Arabidopsis thaliana: one gene and its partner. The protein of the gene in region 2 interacts with the protein of the main gene of each other region in a pairwise test. Each region holds a gene or a part of one and is shown on either strand. Other genes may lie near its edges.

Region 1 (3,796 bases), on a different chromosome or scaffold from region 2:
ACAAGTTACATTTTACTGAGTGGTTATTTATCCTCTGTTTCTAGGCTCCTGAGATGATCAATGGAAAGGATGTCACTGAGCTCATGGATCCAAATCTGAAGGGAAAGTTCTCTACAGAAGAAGCTACTATAGTTTTAAAACTCGCCTCTGAATGTTTGCAGTGGAAGGGTTATATAGAGAATGGCATCACTAAAAAGCTTGTTGCAACACTTAAAGCCTTGCAGGCTAAAAAAGAAGTAAGGAGGCTTACTGTTACAATAATTTCATCCCTGAAGATTTTTCGCATTCATGTTATAAAACCAAATCTTTTTGCTTGTAGATTTCATCTTCTGAAATGCATGAAGTAACAAAGCAGCACGATGTGGCATCATCTTCGAGTCAACAACAACTTCCACCCTGAATCTGCTAATAGCTTCAACAAAGTAACTCTTCTCGAAGCAACATTTTTAGGGAAGAAGAATCTTGATTTTCTCACTTAGTGTACTGACACTGTGAAGAAACACCATAATCCATGCATGATACATATACATGTATGATCAAACAATATAAACTTTTTACATAGGGAAAAAGATTCAACGTTTTAAACTTCATAAAGCTAATTTCTTGAATATTGGACATTTAGTAAATAACTCTATTTGCATTTCATAAACTAATTAACTTATATATAGAATACAATACCACAATCCTATACGTTCATCATACAAAGTATCACACATATATACAGAGAGAGTTTTTTGTTAATTAAGAGAAAGAACCAAATACCCAATAAATATATAAAACCTTAAGTTATCATATATCAAAGTCCTAACCTAAGATCCAAGGAACAACCTAACGTTGTGTCTGAAGATGTCGCCGCAGGAACATTAAGATCAATGCCCCTGACTTGGTTCTCTTCCTGATCTTTCTCCCAATGACATCTCATGTGACCTCCTAACGCTTGACCACTGGAGAACACTCTAGAACAGATGTTACATCGATGATTCATCCCCGAGACCAACTTCACACTCTTGCCCTTATCTTGATCAACGATCTCTTGAGGAGGTGGAGGAGGAGGATCTTCGGTTATGTTTTTATTGGCGAAACATCCTTTGACGTCTTTATGTGTTGCTCTATGTCCGCCTAACGCTTGATGTGACCCAAACACTTTCTTACAACCATCACACTCAAACCGTTCCTCAACTTCACTTGAACGGGTTGGGACATCACCATTAGCCATCATTAGTAAACAGGAGGCTATGTTATGCTCTTCCTCAGATGGATCCCAACTCGAGGATGATGACGCAGCGTTTGAGTTGATCCTACGTTTGAAGTTAGAAGGAGGGTTGATGCCACGCCACTGACGTTCAGGGTGACATCTCATGTGTCCAAAGAGTGCCTTCAGTGACCCGAATTGTTTACCACATTCAGTACATGGTCGTGCGATTTGTGAAGCATCAGGGTCCGGTTGCGTGACCGGTTTAGGCCTTGGAGAAGACGAAGAAGAACCGACTTCGTTGTTGGTGAGTTTAGTACGTTTTCTTCTTGGGTTTTGATTGTAACTAGGAAGAGTTACATTGGAGGAAGCAAATGGGATATCGGAATTGGGATCGGAGTTTGAAGTGTTCGACATTATTATTGAGTCTCTTACTAGAGAGAAGACAGAAAAACTAAAAGAGAGGAAAAAAAAAAGTAGAAGAGTGGGAGTTATGGTTGGTTAAGTAGAAGAAGAACAAGTTAGTTTTCATCGACGGTTTCTTAGCAGTTACTTCTCCCTGTTTTGTCGGATTTACATTTCTTTTTTTGTTTTCCTCATAAGTTTTGTTTTTCTTTCAATTATTATTGTATTTATCTTTGTTATTCGAATGAAAAACTTAACGCTCAATCACAAATTATCAACGTCACTACAGCTATATTTAATAAGTAAAATGGAGATAAGAAAACGTAAATGTAACCATTCCACATTTCGAAATCAACTTCTACAGATGTACGAGGTAACAACTTCAAATAGAATCTGAAAGATAACAGACGACCCAAAGTATGTAAAAAAGGTTGTGGGGATTGGGTAAAGAGGAAAGAAGATGACCATTGAAAACAAATAGTGTATCGATGAGCGGCTTTTCTATCCACAAGTTCGCGATCCTATCATAAATGTAGTTATACGAATTCCATAAATTAGATTACTGAAAGAAAACACATTGTTTATTCTATAATTGAGAAGCCAGAGTGGAGTGATATCAGTTCACGAACCTGTATGTTACTGGCCAATACTCCCCAAGAGTCGTTCTACAGCAGCGTTAACGTTACCATTGGTTGCAAGCAAAGCCCTTATGTTCTCTGCTCTGTCGTAGAATCCCATTTCTTGCAACTGTTGCAACTGAGTCGCAAATCGCTCTTCAGGAGGAACTGGAATCAAATAGACATGTTTCAGTGGAACCATCTCAATAGATATATAAGAAATCAAAGTATAGCCCCTAGTGAATCTAACCATTGGGTTGGTTTGTGCCACTTAGGCCGCCAGCACCAAGGCTGCCAAACATATTCATCAATAAATCTAGTCCTCCGTTATTGGCTGTCCCTATAAATATTTCCATAGTAGTGATTTACTCAATAAGCAACGTAATGAATATACGATTAAAGTAAAGCAAAAGAACAAAAAAAAGCACACTGTCTAAGTGAACTAGTTGAAGCCTTCATACTTCAATTACAGATAATATAGTACCTGTCGCAGCACCAGTTTGCGTAGGATCCCTACAAAGAAGATGGATTGGGAACATGAATAGAGGTTGATGGAAATCAAGATCACTGATATCAAATGTTAAAGGAAAGAACCAAAAAAGAACGAAAATTTTTATGCTCCTATTCAAGTTTATTTCAAGGACTAAAATACTTTACAGCCGTTGATAAAGGTCACTAATGATCAGCCCAGTAAAACATACAAGAGTTGCTGCATTACTAATGATTCAACCCATTTATTACTTAATATAAGATAGTTCACCACCGAGAGAATTACCTGGTTAGCTAGTGACACTATTTTCTAAACACAGATCAACCCAAAATCCTATTATGATATATAAAGGACATTACCTACTCAACTAATGTTCCAACTAAAGAAAACAGAAAAGGGTATCCAAACTTACTGGCCAGCCGTGTTCCTATTCTGAGAGAAAAGTGATTGTTGTAGAGACATCATTTGCTAAAAAGACCAAAAAACAATAGAAAACATTAGGTCGGAGAAATTTGACTACTGAATGATATAAAAATAATTATCTGGAGAGACAACATGGGCCCAACTAACCTGCATCATCTCGGGAGAGCTAAACTGGCGAAGGAAATCAGGGTTCTGCATCATTTCCCTCAACTGAGGATTCATATCTAGCATGCTTCGGAGTTGTGGGTTAAGACTCATAAGCTGGAAATGAAGGAAATATTAAAATATTAAAGACAGCCTCACAATAGCTACAATGTCTAAAATTCAGATTACTGAAGGCGCTACCTGATTCATGTACTGTGGATTGGAAAGTACGCTTTGCATCATCTGCGACATAGCGGGGTTTTGCAGTATTTGGCTCAATTGAGAAGCATCTGGAGTCGCACCAAGAGGTGAGTCCGCTCCCAGCATACCGAGTCCACCAAGGCCTCCAAGCCCACCAAGACCACCAAGTCCAGCATTTGTCCTTCCAGGGGCAGTTGTCTGGCCTGTCAAGTAGCCCCACAATATGTTCTAAAATCTTTAGTGCATTACGAGTAACAGTTAAACTAGAAACAAACAGCCAAGAAACTTATTCATAGACAAACTAGTCATAACAACAAACTGTGA
Region 2 (5,022 bases):
GTTAGTTTTTTTTAAATCGTCGTCGTATTCATCGGTTTGGCATAGACACTATATGATTCTCGAACCAATGAACTCGTTATGTAATGTATATTTGTCTCGATTATGATTATCTAATTTTTGTTCAAATCAACAAAGTACTAGTCTATTGTTAGAAGCGTTAGTTACGTTAGTTGATATCATAGCCATGTTAAGCTAGTATCATCCTCGACAAAAGTAATATTATCATCGATGTTCCCGTTACATTAGACTCTTAATACATGTTAATTATGAATATCCATATATTAATATGATTGTATGCTTCAAGAAAATAAAAAGATCATGATTTGATAATTGATACTACACTTAAAGTAATTATAGTTTTTTTTATTTTTTTTTATTTTCACATTTCCAAACATATGTGATCGAATACGAATGGCGATGTTTAAGATGCTAAATCAACAAGATCCTTACACAAAATCGAAGCAATTTTTGAGGAGTATGTAAACAGTGACCGACTTGAATACCTTCAGTGCCACGTTTTTCCTCACTTGGACAAACTTGTTCTTCATTTTTATTTGTTTGGACCAAGATAACTCGTTATTCATTACGAGGGCTTTCCACGGAAGAAAATGCACTACCTACAAAAGAAATGGAATAATATAAACTTGAATGGGCCCTGCTTGGGATATCAAGACTTCGGCCCAGCAATGTCCGTGCATGCAAATATTTTGTTAATCACTTTTTAAAGTAGCATTTGGATTATCGCTTAGTATATTTGCATTCCCATCTATTACTAATACTACAATACTAGGAGCAAAAGTTATTAGTTCTTTAATTTGATTGCTAGATAGTGCTGGAAACTTTATTTCAGGAAATGGAATTTCTAGGCTGGCTAAATAGTGTTCTGGATTCTTGAGGGACCCTGTTACGCCTAAAAATAATGTTGTTTTTTTGAAGGTCATCAAAATAAACATTTTATAAGACAGTAAAAAAAGAAATAAGACAATTATATTTATGTAGTCAAACGCTTGTTTTTGCTGGATATATAATTACATAAAAGTTGCATTTATCCTTTAATCAATTGCCAAAAAGCAAGAAATAATATCAATCCAATCTTATAAACAACTATATTATGAAAAAGATGATAATTATTGTACGCAAGATGTTATACGACACACGTAATTTGTAGATACACAAAAAGGTCAAGGTCAACAAATAACACGATCAATTGCATTAAATGTGTACTAGCATGGTTATCAGAAATTTTTATTGATACCATGGAATCGATAGACGACAAAACCAACCGTAATTTCAAAATTTCCGTAATTGTTTCTCTTCTCTTTTCTTGTTTTATCGACGATTATGGAAATTTTTTTTTTTTAACGGAGATGTTTGGTCCGACAACGTGACGGTAAATCCTCCACTGTCTTCGCTTAAAGACAAACGACAATTAATCTTTTTAACTCCTCGTTTCACTTGCAAAGTTATTTCATCATTTTAGTAGTTTACTCTCATTCTACTAAATTTGTATTTTTATTGTAACATAACGGTCATATCAGTATTTGGTTAGTTGATTATGTGACATGACTATGGATAATAAGACTTGATATGAATTCCCATATATAAGAAATCGTCGATGACATAAAACTACTTTATCTACTAACTTCATAAGGCAAAAATGAGTAGATAATTAGATTATTAGAAAGAGAGAGACAATGAGATTGATATTTTTTATATGGGAGTCCAAAATCAAGATAGATATACTTGAAAACACTCGAACCCCACAAGGATCGACAAAATATTTCTTTTTAAATAGCTCAAAAAAATTATTTAAAAAAATTCAAAATCTTTTTAAAATATCCAAAATGTTGAAAAGTTGTAAATCGATAAAAGAGAAAAATAATAATAATTGTGCCAATAGAGAGAAAGAGAGAGACAGAAGAAGAAAGAAAGGTTCCTTTGTCTCGGAACAACCAAAGAGCCACCACCCAAAAAAAAAAAGGTTCTTAGCTTTTTTTCTTTCTTTCACACGAAATCTCACGAGACGCCTTATTTCTTCTTCTCTGTCTCTTTCCGACGGCGTAACTCTCCGGTGGAATCTCAGCTCTCTTATCAGTAGAAGAAGTTTTGGTCTTTAAATGTAATTTTTTTGGTTTTGCTTTAAATTTCAATCGTTGTTATCAGAAAAAGTAGGTAGCAAAAAAAGAGATTTTTTACGAAAAGCAGATTGACTGGTAGCTGAAACAACGGAGGAGAATTATAGAAACGAGTAAAAAACAAAACCCTAAAGGTTGAAACTTGGTTGACGAAAAAAATGAGCTGATTTTTTTTTCTTCATTTATTTCATTCTTAACTCTTTTTCACATATTTAAGAATCAGTAAGAAACAAAAAAAAACAGAGTGAGACTAAAAAAAAAGATGCCGGTAGATTTAGATAACTCCTCCACAGTTTCCGGTGAAGCAAGTGTTTCAATCTCATCCACCGGAAACCAAAACCCACTTCCAAACTCCACCGGAAAGAAGAAACGTAACCTCCCTGGCATGCCTGGTAAACTTCAAAAATCCAAACTTTATTATAACTCAAAATTTCTCAATTTTTGTTAAAGTTTTGTCCTTTTTATACAGATCCAGAGTCAGAAGTTATAGCTTTATCACCAAAAACATTACTAGCAACAAACAGATTTGTTTGTGAAATCTGTAACAAAGGGTTTCAAAGAGACCAGAATCTTCAACTTCATCGTCGTGGACACAATTTACCATGGAAGCTTCGTCAGAAATCAAACAAAGAAGTGAAGAAAAAAGTCTATGTTTGTCCTGAAGTTAGTTGTGTTCATCACGACCCTTCACGTGCTTTAGGAGATCTAACTGGAATCAAGAAACACTTTTGTCGGAAACATGGTGAGAAGAAGTGGAAATGTGATAAATGTTCTAAGAAATACGCTGTTCAATCTGATTGGAAAGCTCATTCCAAGATTTGTGGTACTAAAGAGTATAAATGTGATTGTGGTACTCTGTTTTCTAGGTAAAGTGTTTGCCTTTTTTGATCATACATAAGAAAAAATTCAAAATTCAACAATCTAAGTTTTGAGTGATTTTTGTTTGCAGGAGGGATAGTTTTATAACGCATAGAGCTTTTTGTGATGCTTTGGCTGAAGAAAATGCGAGAAGTCATCATAGTCAGAGTAAGAAACAGAATCCTGAAATTTTGACCCGGAAAAACCCGGTACCCAACCCGGTTCCTGCTCCGGTGGATACTGAGTCTGCTAAAATCAAATCCTCCTCGACTTTAACAATTAAGCAATCAGGTAAAGAGTCTCTTGTAGTGTTCTAGATTGGGAATTTTTTGGTGTTTTTGGATTCATTTTTGTCGCTATATTTCTTTGTTTTAAGCTGAAAATGAAGATGGCTAAGGTAATCTCTGTTAATGGTCGGTGGTGTTCTTGGAGTTTAGTTAGATGTTTTGTCCGTAGTGTCGTATTATTTTATCTGTTACTTGATTAAGAACATAATTCGTTTGGTAAGTTTAATAGTTGTTCAATGGCTGATTGGTTCTTTATGATAAACAAATCAAAGATATGATTGATTTGCTTTTTGTTTGTTTACAGTTTATTTTTTCAATTCAAAAAGTATCAAACTTTATGTAAACGACTAATGACTCTTATGATCTACAGAATCTCCAAAAACCCCTCCTGAAATCGTTCAAGAAGCTCCAAAACCGACCAGTTTAAATGTTGTTACAAGCAACGGTGTTTTCGCAGGCTTATTCGAATCTTCCTCGGCTTCTCCAAGTATATACACAACATCGTCTTCTTCGAAGAGTCTTTTCGCGTCATCTTCGTCCATTGAACCTATCTCTTTGGGTCTTTCAACAAGTCATGGATCATCCTTTCTTGGGTCAAACCGGTTCCACGCTCAGCCCGCGATGTCAGCAACCGCTTTACTTCAAAAAGCAGCTCAAATGGGAGCAGCTTCTTCAGGAGGTTCATTGCTTCACGGGTTAGGGATAGTTTCATCCACTTCAACTTCTATAGACGCAATAGTCCCTCATGGACTAGGATTAGGACTGCCTTGTGGTGGCGAAAGCAGCTCGGGTTTAAAAGAGCTTATGATGGGGAATTCATCGGTGTTTGGTCCGAAACAAACGACATTAGACTTCCTCGGTTTAGGTAGAGCGGTTGGTAACGGAAATGGTCCAAGTAACGGACTATCTACTCTAGTCGGAGGAGGAACCGGCATCGATATGGCAACAACATTTGGATCAGGAGAGTTTTCAGGGAAAGACATTAGTAGAAGAAAATCATAAGTAGAGTAAATGAATGTGTTTGAGAGGGTTTTAGATGTTCTTGTTCAATAGGTTAGTGTGAGAATTTGAAAACTTCCCTTTGAAAGAAAGGGTTCACTATTTAATATATATGCAATTAGTTAATTATTCTGATTTACCTAATTTCGATTTCTTAAACGCAAAGAAATCTTTAGTGACGAGTGATGATGATTTACTCTTCTTATCTAATAAATTCCTTCACAAATGCAATAAATGGAATTGTTTTGCTTTCGTTTCCTTAATCGGAATAGGTAAAGAGAGTGAGATTTACTTCTTTATATAGAAACTCTTTCCAAATCTTGAATAATAGGGTCCCATTTGTTTTTTTGTTAAAATTTTCGGTGGAATATTGAAATTTTTTACCTTTCGAATTTGACATTTGATTTGATTAGATATTCGATAGACAAAAAGAAGAAAGAGATTCGGACAATAGATTTTTTTGCTGTGCCAATCGTATCGTAGGACCATTATTGATAATCGATATAGTGACGTGTTATTATCACGACAGGACAACACTAAGCCGTTTACAATCTCCTAATACGACCCATTACGTTAATGAAAATAGGCCATCGTTACTTGGGGGCTTAGGCCATAATTTATAAGCCCATTTATCTCAGTTTAGGCCCAAAGTTTCTCAATATATCTAAATATACTAAATCAGCAGTCACTTTTCCAGTAAGTGATGCATTTAGTGATTGACACATCAGCTTATTACTATTTTT

Evidence for each region.
Region 1: the proteins of IDD2 (region 2) and DAZ1 interact in a two-hybrid assay, tested with the Arabidopsis thaliana proteins (one large-scale study listed by BioGRID).

What each region holds. Positions count from the first base shown.
Region 1 is NC_003071.7:7,476,039-7,479,834, forward strand, and holds DAZ1 (C2H2-like zinc finger protein), read right to left. Parts: upstream 1,646-3,796; 5' UTR 1,610-1,645; coding exon 797-1,609; 3' UTR 624-796; downstream 1-623. Other genes in the region: AT2G17170 (Protein kinase superfamily protein), read left to right, coding at 45-236, 320-400; AT2G17190 (ubiquitin family protein), read right to left, coding at 2,234-2,382, 2,465-2,554, 2,699-2,727, 3,117-3,172, 3,275-3,388, 3,473-3,675. UniProt on the Arabidopsis thaliana protein: Mediates the regulation of male germ cell division by DUO1.
Region 2 is NC_003074.8:18,838,548-18,843,569, forward strand, and holds IDD2 (indeterminate(ID)-domain 2), read left to right. Parts: upstream 1-1,863; 5' UTR 1,864-2,397; coding exon 2,398-2,527; intron 2,528-2,604; coding exon 2,605-3,001; intron 3,002-3,084; coding exon 3,085-3,284; intron 3,285-3,650; coding exon 3,651-4,282; 3' UTR 4,283-4,506; downstream 4,507-5,022. UniProt on the Arabidopsis thaliana protein: Transcription factor that acts as a positive regulator of gibberellin (GA) action, homeostasis and signaling. GA converts the GAF1 complex from transcriptional activator to repressor via the degradation of DELLA proteins.